2 linked regions of the Oreochromis niloticus genome follow. The main gene of each other region encodes a partner of the protein of the gene in region 2 in a complex. Links are inferred from orthologs where the notes say so. Each region holds a gene or a part of one and is shown on either strand. Other genes may lie near its edges.

Region 1 (7,476 bases), on a different chromosome or scaffold from region 2:
CATAAAAGGTGCAAAATTTAAAAAAAAAAAAATATGCAGAGATCTTAGAAATTAGTTGAGTTTTGTTCCCTGCTCTCAGCGCACAGTGGAGAGCATTATTAGCATCTGTGTTTCTTTTCATCACAGCATCAAGTCTCAAATTCAACTAAGAACCTTTTAGCAGTGGCTGCACCTGCTTGTCTCTCAGAAACTGGCTTTCAGTGTGTGCTGATACGTTAATATTATAATAACAGAGAAGTGATATTGAAACCTATTTTCTCATGAAAACCATCTGTTTTTTTTTTTGTTTTTAAATCAACTGCCAACTGAAAGATGCTGAGACTGGTACCAGCCAAAGACACTCCCCTCAGTATTATCCATTAACTGGAACGCCGCTTTGCCCCAGTTTTCCAGCCATTTACCCAACATTTCAATTTCACGATAGTCTACAACTTATGCAATCTAACAAATGAAATAGATTCCGACCAGAGCACAATATGATTGCTCAAAATGTAAATAGGTCATTTCGAATAATCACTGACCCAATCAGCTACAGTGGCTCAAGAATCAACTTTTTTTTTCTTTTATTTCACCAGAGACCCAGTAATTGCTACATCTTTGGCTGCAGCCATCTGGGTTACAGGGCCATGAAAGTAGTGGGAGTTTAGGCAAAGTGTTAAATAGGTTTCAACACAAGCATCCTCTCCAGCAGTCACAGGTCCAGTTTTCCCCATTGGATCGACCCCCTGTTTTCCTATCTGGCTTTTGCACCTCGACCCTGGAAGCCTAGAAACTGTGGGGAGAAGAGCTTGGAGTAGGATTGCAGTGTAGGCCTGTGTGGGCCGTGTAAAAAGTAAGGCTCCCATATGGCCACCAGCCCTGAATCTTGGATAGCTTCAACTCGAAAGACTTGGCCAAGCTTCTCTTCACTCATTCATACAGGGCCAGTTGCTCATCCAGCCAAACCCTCTAGAAAATAAAACTACTTGCGCACACACACACACACACACACACACACACAGATACACACAAAACACTGCCACTCTGCTTTATATGAGTATCAACACCCAGAGCTACTGAATTTGAATTCAAGCTGCTGGTGTTTATGCCCATATCTTTAAATTTGAATAGTAATGCAAGAAAAAAAGACTCACTAGTTTACCTCCAACAAACGCGCGTGCGCACGCACGCACACACACACACACACACACACACACACACACACACACACACACACACACGACTTGAAGCCTCTTTGAATATCGGGGAAGTAAAACATGAACAAAGACTGATTTTCACTCAATAGCTGATAACTTTTCTTGCAGAAGAAGGAATCAAAGCACACAAACACATATAGAGCAACTCATCGCCTAAAAAAAACTCTCCTGTAACTTTCTTAGTAATCTTGACTCTCTTCCTCTCTCCTATCAGTGCTGTGCATCACACTCTCTCCTCCACAACTCTAACAATTCCGCCTCTGCAAAGCTGACGGCACTACAGGAAGATGAGTTGTGCCAAACAGTCTTTTTTTTGGAGTGCAGAGAAGCAAGCCAGCAAAGCATAGGAAAACAATTTGGGGACACTGGTAAGCCCTCTCAAACCACAACAAAGCTCAAATTTAATTTAAACTAGTTGATTATTTTTAAACTACTGCCATTTGAGTTTGGCATTTTTCTCCTTTTAGTCTTTAAATGCTGTAGCCATGCTGTGCGTCCTTCAGGATCCTCACAGTGAAAGCAGCCTGGTTTCCATTAACCACCAGTTGTTGGCATTAGGCAGTGGATATCACTGGGAGCAATCAAAGTGCTGGAGATATCTAACACAGACTAAGCGCATCAGCGTGCCTGAAAGAGTCTGAGCATCTGCTGCATGGGACAAAATGAGAGTGGAGTAATTATGAGAGAGGCTCCCCGGAGTGTTCTCTCTCAGCATCCCCGCTAATCCGGTGACACCAAAAGGTGTGGCGCCGTGTGGCTTTCCTCACACTTACTAATAAACAAAGAGCGTGCGCGAGTGAGTGTGCGTAATTATAAAAAGAGAAGACAAAGATATTTCTTGAACTTCAGCAGCGCGACTGATGGAGAAAACACGATCAGAGTGCATGCATTACCTCGGAAAAGGAAGGCTTTGCTGCTGTTGTGAAGACCCGCCACTTGGGTAATTCCATAGGTGGCATTTGCCAGGTCAAGTTCATTGATGATGTCAATCTGGTAGTCTTGATCTGAACCGAAAGCCAAAGCTGTGGAAGAGAATTTGGAGGTTAGAGGACAATCTGCTGACAGAAGTGTAGCTGACAGTGTTTTAACTACAATGTTGATTCACTTTAAACACAGACGCGGTCACTGCTTTCTGCATTTATCCACTTAAAATGGCTGGTTGTGGAAAAAGTCACGCAGTTTTTATTTTTCACGAAAGATGCTGCTAAGGCTGCCCACTAAAAGAAAGGGGGGAAAGCGCTGTATGTGTCCACGACCATCACCTGTCTTCTAACTCTGCAAACTGTAGGTGATTGAAAATAAAAATAAATGAAACGATACTGAAAAATTAAAGGCACTGCCACAATTCTGGAATCCTTGCGCTCAATGTGCAAACTGGGAAGCGTAAAGAAAAAGAAATTAAAATATATATATATATATAAATATTTAAAAAAAAAAAAAAAAAAAAAAGCTTCTGCTACAATAAGATGCTACAAGAGTGAACACGGGCTTTGTGCTTACCTGGTGAGGTAAAAAAGAAAAGGGATAACAGAGCCACGTAAATATCCATTTGTGTTGGAGTTGCGATGTACAGAGTCCGTGAGTGTAACGCGCCTCCGTGTACCCACACTAACCCGCTCCGGTCCGTCTGGTGCTCTGCGCCGCTCTCACTTCGCCTGGATGTGGAGGAACGGAGGAATGGTCCACAATCCGTGAGCAGGGGTTCTCTAATTACAACACAGGGAGAGTTAATGGGCTTTAAACGTATCCAGCCAGTTTGTGGACGGCATTAAAAGTGACCCACATCCGCGTTCATGTGCGACTCCTATTAAACTGAGCTGCCGATATGAAATTCGAGGATATTCTCATCAATCGAACTGCGAAGTTCCCCTCCGCTCAGACAACAGAAACTTCCAGTTTTTTGGAGGTGAGAAAAGGGTTTTCAAAGGGAACTTGGTGAGTGGAGGACATGGGGAATGTCTGTAGAAGGCTGCTGTTATTTGTCACAACAGAGAAAAGATTTTTTTCCAGCCTCAAGGGGCAATTTGACACAGCAGTTCACAAAGTGGAGCCCATTATATTAGCCACATGAACATACCGTAGCTCAGGGAGTCTTCTCTAAATGAGAAGTTTGTATAACAAGAATTTGCGTCACAACTCTCCCAACTCAGAAAATCCCTGCTGCTCCAGTGCTCTTTCCTCTGGGGCCTGTCCTTATTGAGGTCCATTAATCATACCATTCCCCTGCCTGCCTTCACTTTGTCTACATTGTCAGGTTGTCTGGGTTACCTGCGTCAACTCAAACTAGGGAGGGCAAGAACAGAGGTATCTGCTCAGAGACTGCAGCAGCATGCATCGCCTGCTCCAACAGTGCTTGCCTTTTCCACACCGGGGACGGTGCTTTGGGATGCAGGTCACTCCTCCACCTATTCAAATTAGACTGTAAACAACACTGCCTATCCACTGATCCAGAACCCGAAAAAATTGAAGGGTAAAACAACATGTAATTTGAAATTACAGGTTGCAGAGCAGCCAGCAGAAAAGGGAGGGAAAGAGAATTTAAATTGTTTTTAGATAGGCGGTGGTGTTTACAGGCTACAAAATTCCTGCCTCTCAAAATATTAAGTGGAGGGAAAAGAAAGCCAATTAAAATGCACAGTGTTGTCCACTTCATTTATTTATCCGTCTGTTGTTTCTTTATAAATATCAGGATCATGTGTGGAATTATCTACTGAAGCACAGCAAATTTATGTAGGGGTTCCTATTCCCACCCACAGGCAGCCGAGGAAAATTTAGGAAAAGAATGTGTCTGTGTGAGATTAATACAGATTTCTGTTAATTCATTGACATTTCTTTTTCACGTGAAATGCCTCTGTCGATTGCCAATAGTCAAGCACGTAGTGAGCTCAGAGGTGCTAGTAGGCAGATTTTATTACCTGTGGACAAAGTCAGGTCAGTTGATTCTCCCTGCACTCTGTTACTCTTTGTATCTACTGTAGCTTGATAGTTACACTGGCAGTCTGTTTATCTAAATCTAGAAGTCTATGCTTGCTATAGGTTATAACATATAGTTCTATTTTAGCAATTAAACTCTTATGTGAAATACACCGTAAACATGCACCTGTATCATGAAATTGGGCAGAATTACTCAAATGAGCATACTAAGTTATGTTTAATGTTGCAAAATGATCGATTTTAACCCAAATCACGATTGTTTCCTAATTGCAACTGAGTAGCAAATTAAAGAAAAATTTAAAAATAGTGCCAGATAATCTTAGACTCAATTCAGTTTGATTTATATAGCGCCAAATCACACCAAAAGTCACCTCAAGACACTCCATATTGTAAGGTAAAGATCATAATACAGGGAAAATCCCAACAATCAGACACCCTGTATGAGCAAACACTTGGTGACATTGGGAAGGAAAAAGTCCCTTTTAACAGGAAGAAACCTTTGGCAGAACCAGGTTCAGGGAGGGGCGGCCATCTCCCATGACTGATTGGGGGTGAGGGGAAAGAGATGCAACAAAAAAATGTCAAACACAATCTCCTGCTCAGTATGTGTCTTTGCCTCAGACTTTCTTCTTTAATTTATTTAAAATGCAAATACTATGTGATCTGCTTTTAGGAATGCTTAGATTAGTTTTTTTTTAATGGTAAATAACTAAATGACTATTTCATTTTCCCAACCAAAAGAGCTTTCAGATGAAAATAATATGCTTGTTTAAGTTTAAATCTATGGGACATCAAAAAGAGGTTTGCAAGCAGGTGGGTAGACAAATGAACCTAAAGGATGACAGTGAGATTGTAGGAAAATGGTAAAAAGTGGTTTTTGGGCAGAAAAAAACCCCCTGGAGCTAGAAGAGTGCTTCAGTCAATGTGACAGTGTTAGAAATACGATGAAATCATGGTGTAGTTCTTTACAAAATAAGTACAGGAATTACTCAGAATGTGCAGAGTTCTCAGAGTGTTTACAGCAGCAACAGGCAGATGATCCTGTAACATCTGTGAAGACTATTCACTCTCTCCCTTTTTCACACATTTGCAGCACATTAAATGCTCTGAGATATATTACAGAACTATTAGCTTCTTCTCTTATATAAAGTAATGTCCATTAGTTATTGGACAATGACAGAATTTTGTAATTTTACATCTGTGTACCACAGGGGATTTTTCAATCAAAGAATCAAGATGCAATTCAAATGCAAACTTTCAGCTTCAATTGATGGTGACATACAAATAATGATTATAACAAATGTAATAACAGCCATTTTTATACACAGCACCCCCATTTTCAGGGGCTCAAGTTAACTGGACAAACTAATGTACATTTACATTGTATTTTAATGCTTGGATGAAAATCTTTGGAGCAAACTGTCTAAATCATAGAACATGGATATCATCTGTGTTACCTTGACATACAGCGCTCTGCTAGGCCTTTACTGCAGCCACCTTCCATTGCTGTCTGTATTCATTTCTCTCTGCATTTCATTTTTAATAACTGAAAAGTATACTTTGTTGGGTTGAGATCATGTGATTGACTTGGTTATTAAAAAATGTCCTGTTTATTTGCTTTGAGAAATTCCCGAGGTGTTTTTGCAGTATGCTCTGGGTCATTATCCTTTTGCACTGTGAAGTGCTATCCGGTCAGTTTTGAAGCATTTGGCGGAATCTGAGGAGAGAGTAGACCCCTGTACACTTAACAATTCATCCTCCTGCTTCTATCAAAAGTCACATCATCAATAAACACTGGCAACCCAGTTCCAGTAGTATTTACTGCCACTTTCTACTGAACATGTTCATGTCATCATATCGTCTTCACCATGTTTGACAGATAATGTAATATGCATCAGCTCAAGCTGTTCCTTTCCTTTTCCACACTTTTCTTTTTCCATCATTCTGGTTCAAGTTCATCTTATTTTCATCTGTCCAATGTTTTATCTCTTTTTTGTTCCAAAAACGTTGCAGACCCTTTTAGATATTTGCAGGAAAAGTTGTTTTTGTTTTTTTTTAGTGTAACCAGCAGTTTGTACCCTGCTGTAAAGCCTGCAATATAAAATTTAGTTAAGTAAAATCTGCAACCATTTCCAATAAATGTTATTGCATATCAGCTTGGAGACATTTTAAACAATTCCAGGTCTCAGGAGGCAACTCACAACTCTCCAACATTGGTGGGTATTCTCAAAATGAACTGCTAGAGTCCGGCCGTTCCACATCATGGGTGGTAACAAAGGTGTTCAACAGCATTAACTTTATCCTTTTTTAGCTACTTTCTGGTGTGACAACTTGTGGTCTAGTGGATAACACATTTGCTTGGCAAGCGAAAGGTTGCTGGTTTGTTTCCAGCTGGAGATGCAAGTCCCCTTTGGGGATGTGTCAGGAAGGGCATCTAGTGTAAAACCATGCTAAATTAAACATGTAGAGCTATGTATTAAAAAGCGTTTTTTTTTTTTGTTTGTTTTTTTGGTATAACAACTTGTGGCTGGGGATTGTTGTTTTGTATTAGATTTGTATTTGTATTTCTGAATGAAAAATGAATAATCATGACTGAAAATACTAAAATTATTCTGCTGGCACACAGCAGGTGATATAAACATCTGTTCAAGAAAATAACACAAGCACAAGGAGTCCTCATTTGCAGCTCCTGACACCAGAAGCTAAATCCAAGTTTTATTCTAGTTAGTCAGTTTGCGCTGTAACATCCACAGACAACTTTTATGTCTTATGTTTTGACTATCTTTTTCAGCAGATTAAATCTTCTTGTATGTGATAACCCTGGCAGACATGAAAAGAAATATAGTGTACATTGTGTAATGAAGAACTAAGCTTCTGATGAGCAGCGTTTGTTGAACGACTGCCTGAATATTACAGCCCAGGGAATAAAGCCATGCAGCAGTGTCCCGCTGTGTCTGCTGAAAGCCCATCATTACCCATTAATCACAGAGTTAAAGTACTCCCTATGCAATGCCCAAATTTGTAGCTCTATAGCAGACTGGCGGATGTGCCTTCGTGAGTGTCACTGCTCTGCATGCCGGGCTTGGCGCCCTGATTTCTTTCCCATGCTTGACAGCCTTCATCTAGGACTGCTGTAATTTGGCAGAGGAAACAAATATATACACCAGTGGCAAAACCTTCACTACAAGAACTGGAAAAGTCTGGAGGTGACTTAGAACTAGCTAAAATGAGAGAGGGGCTTAGTATTTCTTTTTGTCCTTTCCTATTTACTCCTGGACATCAGGCAGTAGAATAGTGAGATGAAGTGGTCCTGTGCTAGCGTTAACACAAAAAAGAGCACACCAAC
Region 2 (7,928 bases):
CCATAGGACTAACTGTAATAACTTCGTTGATTTGCCAAATTTATATCTGCTAGTGACATGAAATAAATGTTTCCACATGTCTAGTAAAGTATCTTTGCATTGATTGTATGGCTGGTCATCCAGTTCTGCATAGACATGGTCAGAAGGTCATGTGTCCTAATCAGTTTGGTGATCAGAACTTTAATTTAATCAGTATCACACTATATATCAAAGTCCCTGTTGTGGTCAGTTTTAAACCTTTGAGTTGAGAAGATTGGGTATCACCATCACCAGGAGGGTGGATCTGACTGAGAAACTGTGGGACTTCACACTTACATGATAATTCAAGAGAAAACCATTACATTCAGTTTTATTTATTACTTCCAGTTCAGCAGTCATTATTAAGGGTTTGCAGCAGTGACCTGAGATGACAGTCAAAAGGTAATCCTCTTTTTTCAATCTAAATGGGGCCATATTATATTAAATAAGACTGGAGCAGTTTGGTCATTTGAAATACAATGCAGGTGTAAGACACTTCCACACTAGCTTCACTTTTCAAATCCACACACTTGTCCATATTTTGCATGTAGTCTCTGGCCAAAATTCCCATTGTTAAATTCTGAATAGTAATCATGATGAAACCACCGTCCCGTGACTCTCTGTCCACCACAATCTAACCGTGGGTCTAAAAAGACTGCATTGTATTGATCAAAGGATTCGCACGGATAACTTCATGTTTTTCTCTTTGTAAGGCTGCGTGTGGATGCTAAAAGGCTTGTAAAGTGTGTCATAGCGAGACAGAGCGTTCCGTCCAACAGGGCGCTGACATTAATGACCCATCTGTATCCATCTCTGCATTAACATTTGTATGAAAGGCCAAACACTCAGTGTGTCACCACTCATCCCCCTTTTGATGGATTTGCATGAAATTTGGTTTCATGCCTCAAACCGGGATCCTCATAACAAAGCAAAAGGTCACCATGCAGATACCTGCTATTCAGCACCACAGTCACACTTGGTTAGAAAATGTCCAGCTATTAAATGAAATGGATTAAACTGAAATGAAACCTGTCTAAAAACAGGTGTTATTTTACTAAATGTTACTACAATTGTCGCAAATGCTTTTACTCTCACAGCACTATGGCTATTTAAGCTCCAGTCATGTTAATGACTAGTTTAACCTCAGTTTTTTGTTTGTTTGGCTGTTTTTGTTTAAATAAAAAGGCAGAAATTTGCAGGTATGAATGAGCAAATTTGCATTTCTTACACAAGTACCTACAGGTACAATATACTACTGGATTTTCAAATTCTTGATACCATTTTTGATACAATGGTGGAAAAAAAAAAAACAGCTACAGTTATGGTAACTGTTTAACACAGTTATCCTGTAACTGTTAAATTAAAACCCCATCATCTCATATTCCATGACTTTTCCTGTTTCAGAGTGTTTAGTTTTTTTAGCCTAATTAAAATACGTTATCCAAAATTCATTTTTAACTTTTCATAATGTTCTTCTGCAATAATTATGTTTTTCAGATGTGTTATTATGTTAGCTTTTGTGTTATTTTTTGTACCACTAGTTTATTACATTATTCTAATGAGCATTTTAACTTTATGATCTGTAATTAAATGATCTAAATCACTGATAAAAATAATAATAACTCAGAAAAATGTTCCTGTCTTACTTAAAATTAAAAAAAATACATGCAAATTGAAAGCTTAGCTTTTTCAAGAAATAACATCTTTGCTGTTGCAGCTGTTGTTGCAGGAGAGGTCAACATGACTTGCTGTTGCTAAAACAGGGGCTTTTCTGATCTCGTGAAATTCCATAGTCATCCTTTAAAATCCTTTATCGAGTCTGTTGTGCTACTGCTTGTGCGTTCTGCTGCTAGTAAAGATAGGGTTATGTACCTGCCTGTCTGCCGCACTGAGTGAAATTGTGTGTCAGCCGGATGAGGCAGAGGGCAAATTGTTGCAAATCAGATCTGGATCGGTGAGTGCAGTTATGCATAAATGCAATCTATTTGTAACTTTGTAACTTTTTGAAGAGCAAAAAGAACATTCCAAGCAGTAAAAAGTACTTACTTGTACCATGAGGCAATACTGTTAGATTTGAACGTTTTATTGTTTATGAAAAACATTGAATACACTCTGACAAGTTTCATTAGGTATCTCTCTCATACAGTACTATGTAAAAGTCCTCATTTTCTCATTGCACTCATAATTTGGTCATTATGAAATATGTATAAATGTAAATACAGTATAAAAGACAAAAACTGAGTTTCTACAGTTCTCTCAAGCGTGAATGTCAGTGTTTATAGTTCAACACAGCTGACTCTCCCACGTTGCAGGCTTAACAGCTTAGACAGTCCAGCGTAAAGTAGCAGGAACATCTGTGCCACATTTGGATTAGAAGTAACCAACTCCCGATGGGACACACTGCTGAAGGTGGTTGAGAACGACAGAGCTGAGGTCCAGACAGACAAGCAGCTGCTGGCCAACCAATCAGATGTAGCGTTGGTTGACATGGAGCAGAAAATTACAGTTTGAAATATCTTAAGAAAGCCTGGAACACCATTTTTCCTGATCACTTTTAACTTTTGCACTATCAGCAGAATCGTGGTGGAGAGGTTAACAGTAATCTTTCACAGCAACATCTTTAAGGGTTTTCACCGTCCTGTTTGCTGGGGATTCTGTTAGTAGACACAGCTTTGAGTGATCACTGTAGTAGACTCGCTCTATGAAAGAGTACAGTTAGCGGTGCCAGGGGTCAGGGCCCAAGCCACTGAACTCCTAAACATACAAAAAGCTATTTTATTCCATGTATATAATAAGTGAATGATATGTAAGTGTATGATCTTAAACTCCAGATGTAGTGCATTCTTTGACATCACACAACACCAGACATAAAATATAGGAATGTGTCACAATTTTAGGTATTTTTACCATGAACAATCAGTAGATTCAAGAAAATAAATATCAGATGAACTGAAAAAGAATATGATGCTACTTTTATTTATTCACACAACAGAATGTTTTAAAAGCACCATCTTTACACTGCAGAAATGATATGATCATGAAAATGGCAGCTTCCATGGCCGAGGAGAGTCATTACTGAGAATTACGAGTGGCTAAGGAGAGCACCCAGGGAGCATGCAATCATTGACGTATATTTGTAGTGGCACTTTGCTGCTGCCTCATTAGTTTATGTTAGAAATAAAAAGTGGCAATAAGAGTTAACATGGTCAATGCCACTAATCTGAAATAGAGAAGACTTATTTCTTCATGTAATATGCCAGGACTTTAGACATATCTAATTATATATAGACTTTCAATGTGGTCCATACTCATCATTGAAACTCTTTGAAGCACATCCATGTAAAATGCTGGAACAACCCGACAAGATAACATGATTCTCATACACAATGTAGCCTGTCAGTGGCTATCGATTCTCCATTGCAACTCAGCCTTCTTCCATAGCATGCCCATATTGAATGCCCATTAACACTGTATGTGTGGATTTAGCTGGCACACATGTCTCATGAATAGAAAACAGCTTAAAATAAAGAGTGACTGGAAAAGACACGAAGAAGAGGGCGCGGGACGGGGGTCGTCACGGCATCTTTGTTGGTTTGTTGCCTCCCTTTGTCACAGTGATGGAGCAGGAGGACAGGCCCCGGATGGTGTATGGGCATCATTAATGGGAGTCACACTGAGGCTGTCAGTGGGGTGTCCAGGAGCCACATGTGACCGTGCTGCTATGATCGCATGTGTGTATCCATGATGATATGCAGACTATGCTTTAAGAGCTATAGCATGCTTGAGCATGAAGGCATGTGATTACATTTCGTTCATCCATATAGACACAGGATAGAAACAGGATATATAGTGGTTGGCCAACACAGCTAAAAGAAACTGCATTATAGAGGGGCTAAGTCATGCTATTATGAAGCAGATGCTGCTTTTTTCAACAAAAAAACTCAAAAAAATATCTGGATCTTTACCTAATCAATAGTTAATGTAAGCATTGCTTTGATCTGTTATTTTACTGTATATTGTAAACTGATAGTTAAAGTTTGCAATCTTGTGATTTATACAATTTAAAATGAAACTAAATTAACTGGTAAACATTATTACAATATCATTGTTTCTTCACAGTAAAAAGTGTTAAATAAAGTTTAATTAGCAATTCAGCATTTATTAAAGATGGCTGCTATAAAGTGTTATTATTATGTTTGCTATGCATGTTTGAAAATTGCAGAGTTAATTGCTGAGTAAGTAACGTTTGTTTCTTTTCACTTTTTAAAAATTAAATGAATTAAAATTTTCTACTGCTTAGTTTAAAACAAACACTGATGCTATAGGATAGGATGCTGTAGCCAACTTACACTTTACTGCTGAGAAAGTCATTTTAGAGACAGATCCACTCTGGTATTTGTTGATGTGGACAAAGGAAAAAGTCTGCATGCAATGTGCTTTGAAAATGTGGACCAGCAGGAAACAAACACTGCCAGCAGGAGTTTAGTTAGTCCCAGGTTTGTTTGTCCAACACATACTGTATGTGTTCATTTATGCATATGTGATGACCTTTTTTGGATGTATGGTTAAGACAGTGACGGTGCGTCTTTTCACCTCCTTTTCTCCACCACCCTGATTCACAGCCTCCTGGGATGATTATTAATCTAATAATTAAACATTTATTGCCAACAGCACCTGCTCTCTCTCGCTCCTCAGAAACCCTCAGGACCCCACCGTAGAGAGAGAGCGCGAGAGAGGAGGAGAGCTGGAGAGGGAGGGAGGGACACAGGAGGAGCCAGAGGGAGGGGTTGGAGAGAGGAGAGCAATTCGAAAGGGTCATCATCACATTGCTGGATTCTTTTACACCAGCGAGAAGCTGTTGTTTTGTATGGCGGCAGACAGCATGTGAAGTTATTTGATCCCAGAACAAAAGAAACAAGGAGGAAGGAACAATCCGATGCTGGGAGGGATTCACAGCGAGGGGCCCCCTGACTCAGTCTGACATCTACAAGCAATTAATCTTCTTATCATCTGACTTCTTTTCACTCACTTTTATTTTTTAATCAAGATTTCTCAGCTTTTTTTCTTCAAAATGTTTGGAAATGTCTGAATCAACTTGAGATGAAAGAGTATCTCTTTAGCTCTTCTTAACACCGAGTAAGGAGGAAAAGCAGATTCAGCGGGAGGCAGAGTCACACTTTTAAAATTAACAGAGTGAGAGAGACAGTGAGAAGTACAGAGAGCAGAGAGGGGGAGTGCAGGTCCCTCTGTGCACCACAATGCTGCGCTACCTGATCAAGACCTTGTTGCAGATGAATCTGTTCACAGACACCATCCGAAACCCTTCCAATGGAACTGACGTCTACTTCAACGGCTCCCTGCAATCCTTCAACGGCTCCCTGCCGCCCTTCAACAGCTCGCTGTTCGAGTGGGGAAACTTCACCGGTTTCAACGGTAAGTGCATCTTCCCCTCTTCAACCTCTTCAAAACACACATGGCATTCTTGAACAAGACACCTGGATCTCTTTTGCAAAGCGGATCTGAAACTGAAAAGGAAAATGTGACCTCATGTGAGGTCACTGGAGATAAACGGATGTGATGTCAGGATTCATATCATTCATATACTCCTGGACACTTGTGTCCAGGAGTATATGACGATCAGCAAACATAAAGTGTTGTTACTAGACTGTAGTAGAAGGTGTTAATATTTAAGCGTAAACTTTATGATATAAACTTTCTAATCACATGAATATGTCCATCCTTCAGTTACCACTGAACCAATCCTGCATCCTCACTTGCCTCATGATTTCTTCTTACAGGGAAATAATAAAGGGGAGTTGGGGGTCAGCAAACTGGGATCACATACTTGTCAGGGTGTTTTTGTGGGCTGTGAGTGAAATGTGACAGAGACAGTATTACCCAATAACACCGCCTATTTTGCAGAACTGTGAGTGGCAGCCTGCTCACTCTGCTAAATGAAGCTGTCTGCTGTCAGCCACGATGTACCCAAACTGTCAGATCTCTTTAACTTTCGCCACCAAGCTCCTCTTTACCCAGTGATGAAGCTCAGTGTTAACAGCTGTGTTGGCTTTGTTTTGTTCTTTTTGCTCTGGGTGAAATTTATTAATGTCCGCTTTTTACCGTTCTGGAAGGAGTTTTGTTGTTAACAAACGTTACGTTACATACTGTATATATATATATCTATATATATACATATATAGATATATATATAGATATATACATATACATACATATATATGGAGAGAGAGAGAGAGAGAGTGTGTACAAGGGTAGAGTTATGTCCAGAGATTGGCATGATGTCTGATTTAATGAGCACCATAGCTTTGTCTCCATGTCATCGCATACCAATGAAAGCTGCATTCAGACACACGCACACACACACACACACACACACACACACAAACATCATTGTCAGACCCATCTATCACATTCACCATATGTTATTTACCTAAAAAGAAATGTGATCTTTCTTTTATCGCTCAGTCCTGAGTTGGTAAAACATCCAGCTGCTTCTCAGCTCGACTCTACTGACTAACGGTAAAGAGGGAAAGCTACAGAAAGGTACACACTCTTTGTGATGCCTTGCGTGGGTGTATACTGTCACAGAGGGGAGTGACGCTTCCCTTTGATGAGTGGACATGGGTGTGAAAGGTGTATTTGCTTCTGAGCCCCACATTCCCTCCTCCCTCCTGTCCCCATAGTCAGCTTCAAACAGCCTCAATAATGCCAAGTTTATAGCTTCTTTTTCATTGCAATCACACTTCTATTTCTCTCTCTCTTGCCATCTGTAAACTCTAATGGAGTGTAGATTGAGTGTTTGTGGGGTTCACTCCTAAAATCTATAGAGAAAGTAAGCAGGAGAGGCAGCAATAAATCTATTGAGGCTGGAGCAGAGAAACACAGTCTGATAGGCTGATAGACAGACATGCCTGCTGTGCATCTCAGCCTCATATTCTTGGGAATCTTCCTCTGTAGCTCACAGAAATTGAATCCCCCCCTTTAGTCTTTAAGTGATATAGATATATTCAGGCAGCCACTTGAGGACGTGTGGGGTTAGATGTAATATTTTGACTAATCAGTGATCAATGATGGACGGTATAAAAGCTTTTTCCTTTTGTGAACATGTCACAGAGATGTGGATTGACTATATGAAAGGAAAGAAAACGATAACCTCTGATATCTAAATTACATCCTACAAAAGTAATCATCGTCCAGATTTGCACTGCAACCCCGCAAAGACACATACATATTTAAAAACCATAATAGAGACATGTTTTCCTGGCCACCATGTGCTGATTCATCACTGGGGAGGGGATGGGTGGTCAAACTGTGGGTATCCAGGCGAGAAGCTCAATAGCAAGTCAGTGGGCGGACAGCTCGTGTGGGTCAACCTGGAGCTCAGAGGGAGGCTCAATGGGAAAATCAATGCAGCCCAATAACCAATTTGGGAAATAATGGACATTTCAGTCAAACACAGCACTATAGTGGACTGCTGGTACATTTATCAGTTCATTCACTTTCTGCCTCTCACTCTGTCTCTGTTTCTTTCTTTATCACACCTCTTCTGTTGACTGTTTCTTTTAGCTCCTTTAACTGACAGTCACTAATTGGGCTTCATTCATTTGCAATTGATTGTTGGAAGCTTGTTTCTTATTATATTTACAACTTTGCGTCCTTATGTTGTTGTTCAATTTGGTTTCAGATTAATTTATTCAAAAGATGTTGTTTGGATGTTTTTAGTCATTTAATAAAGAACGAAAAAGTGACATTTATTTTTGTCATAAATAATGAACTTTAAATAATTTTTCCCTGAATCGATGGATTAAAACAATAGCTTCTCTGCTGCTGCACTCTGGCTCCAGCACCAGACTATGGAGATGCATTCATAATCCATAGGAGACTTCTGAACC

What was found.
Region 1: the proteins of robo3 (region 2) and protein kinase C-binding protein NELL1 are in contact, whole or in part, in a crystal structure (PDB 6POL), measured with the Homo sapiens proteins. The link is inferred for Oreochromis niloticus from reciprocal best matches to the Homo sapiens genes ROBO3 and NELL1. Residues at the interface, in NP_071765.2 of Homo sapiens: Ser553, Pro555, Val590, Glu592, Phe594, Pro596, Asn600, Thr601, Trp602, Thr604, Ile624, Leu626, Arg630, Gly633, Ala634, Trp635, Gly636, Leu637, Ser638, Glu639, Pro646, Val647, Arg648; in NP_006148.2 of Homo sapiens: Ala440, Lys441, Met442, His443, Tyr444, His446, Tyr458, Arg468, Val469, Asp470, Asp471, Phe472, Ser473, Asp478, Ile492, Cys493, Thr494, Asn495, Thr503, Cys504, Lys505, Pro506.

The regions. Positions count from the first base shown.
Region 1 is NC_031965.2:5,939,932-5,947,407, reverse strand, and holds the start of protein kinase C-binding protein NELL1, read right to left. Parts: upstream 3,018-7,476; 5' UTR 2,746-3,017; coding exon 2,697-2,745; intron 2,219-2,696; coding exon 2,090-2,218; intron 1-2,089. UniProt on the Homo sapiens protein: Plays a role in the control of cell growth and differentiation. Promotes osteoblast cell differentiation and terminal mineralization.
Region 2 is NC_031975.2:4,413,907-4,421,834, forward strand, and holds the start of robo3 (roundabout homolog 3), read left to right. Parts: upstream 1-4,911; 5' UTR 4,912-5,276; coding exon 5,277-5,451; intron 5,452-7,928. UniProt on the Homo sapiens protein: Receptor involved in axon guidance during development. Acts as a multifunctional regulator of pathfinding that simultaneously mediates NELL2 repulsion, inhibits SLIT repulsion, and facilitates Netrin-1/NTN1 attraction.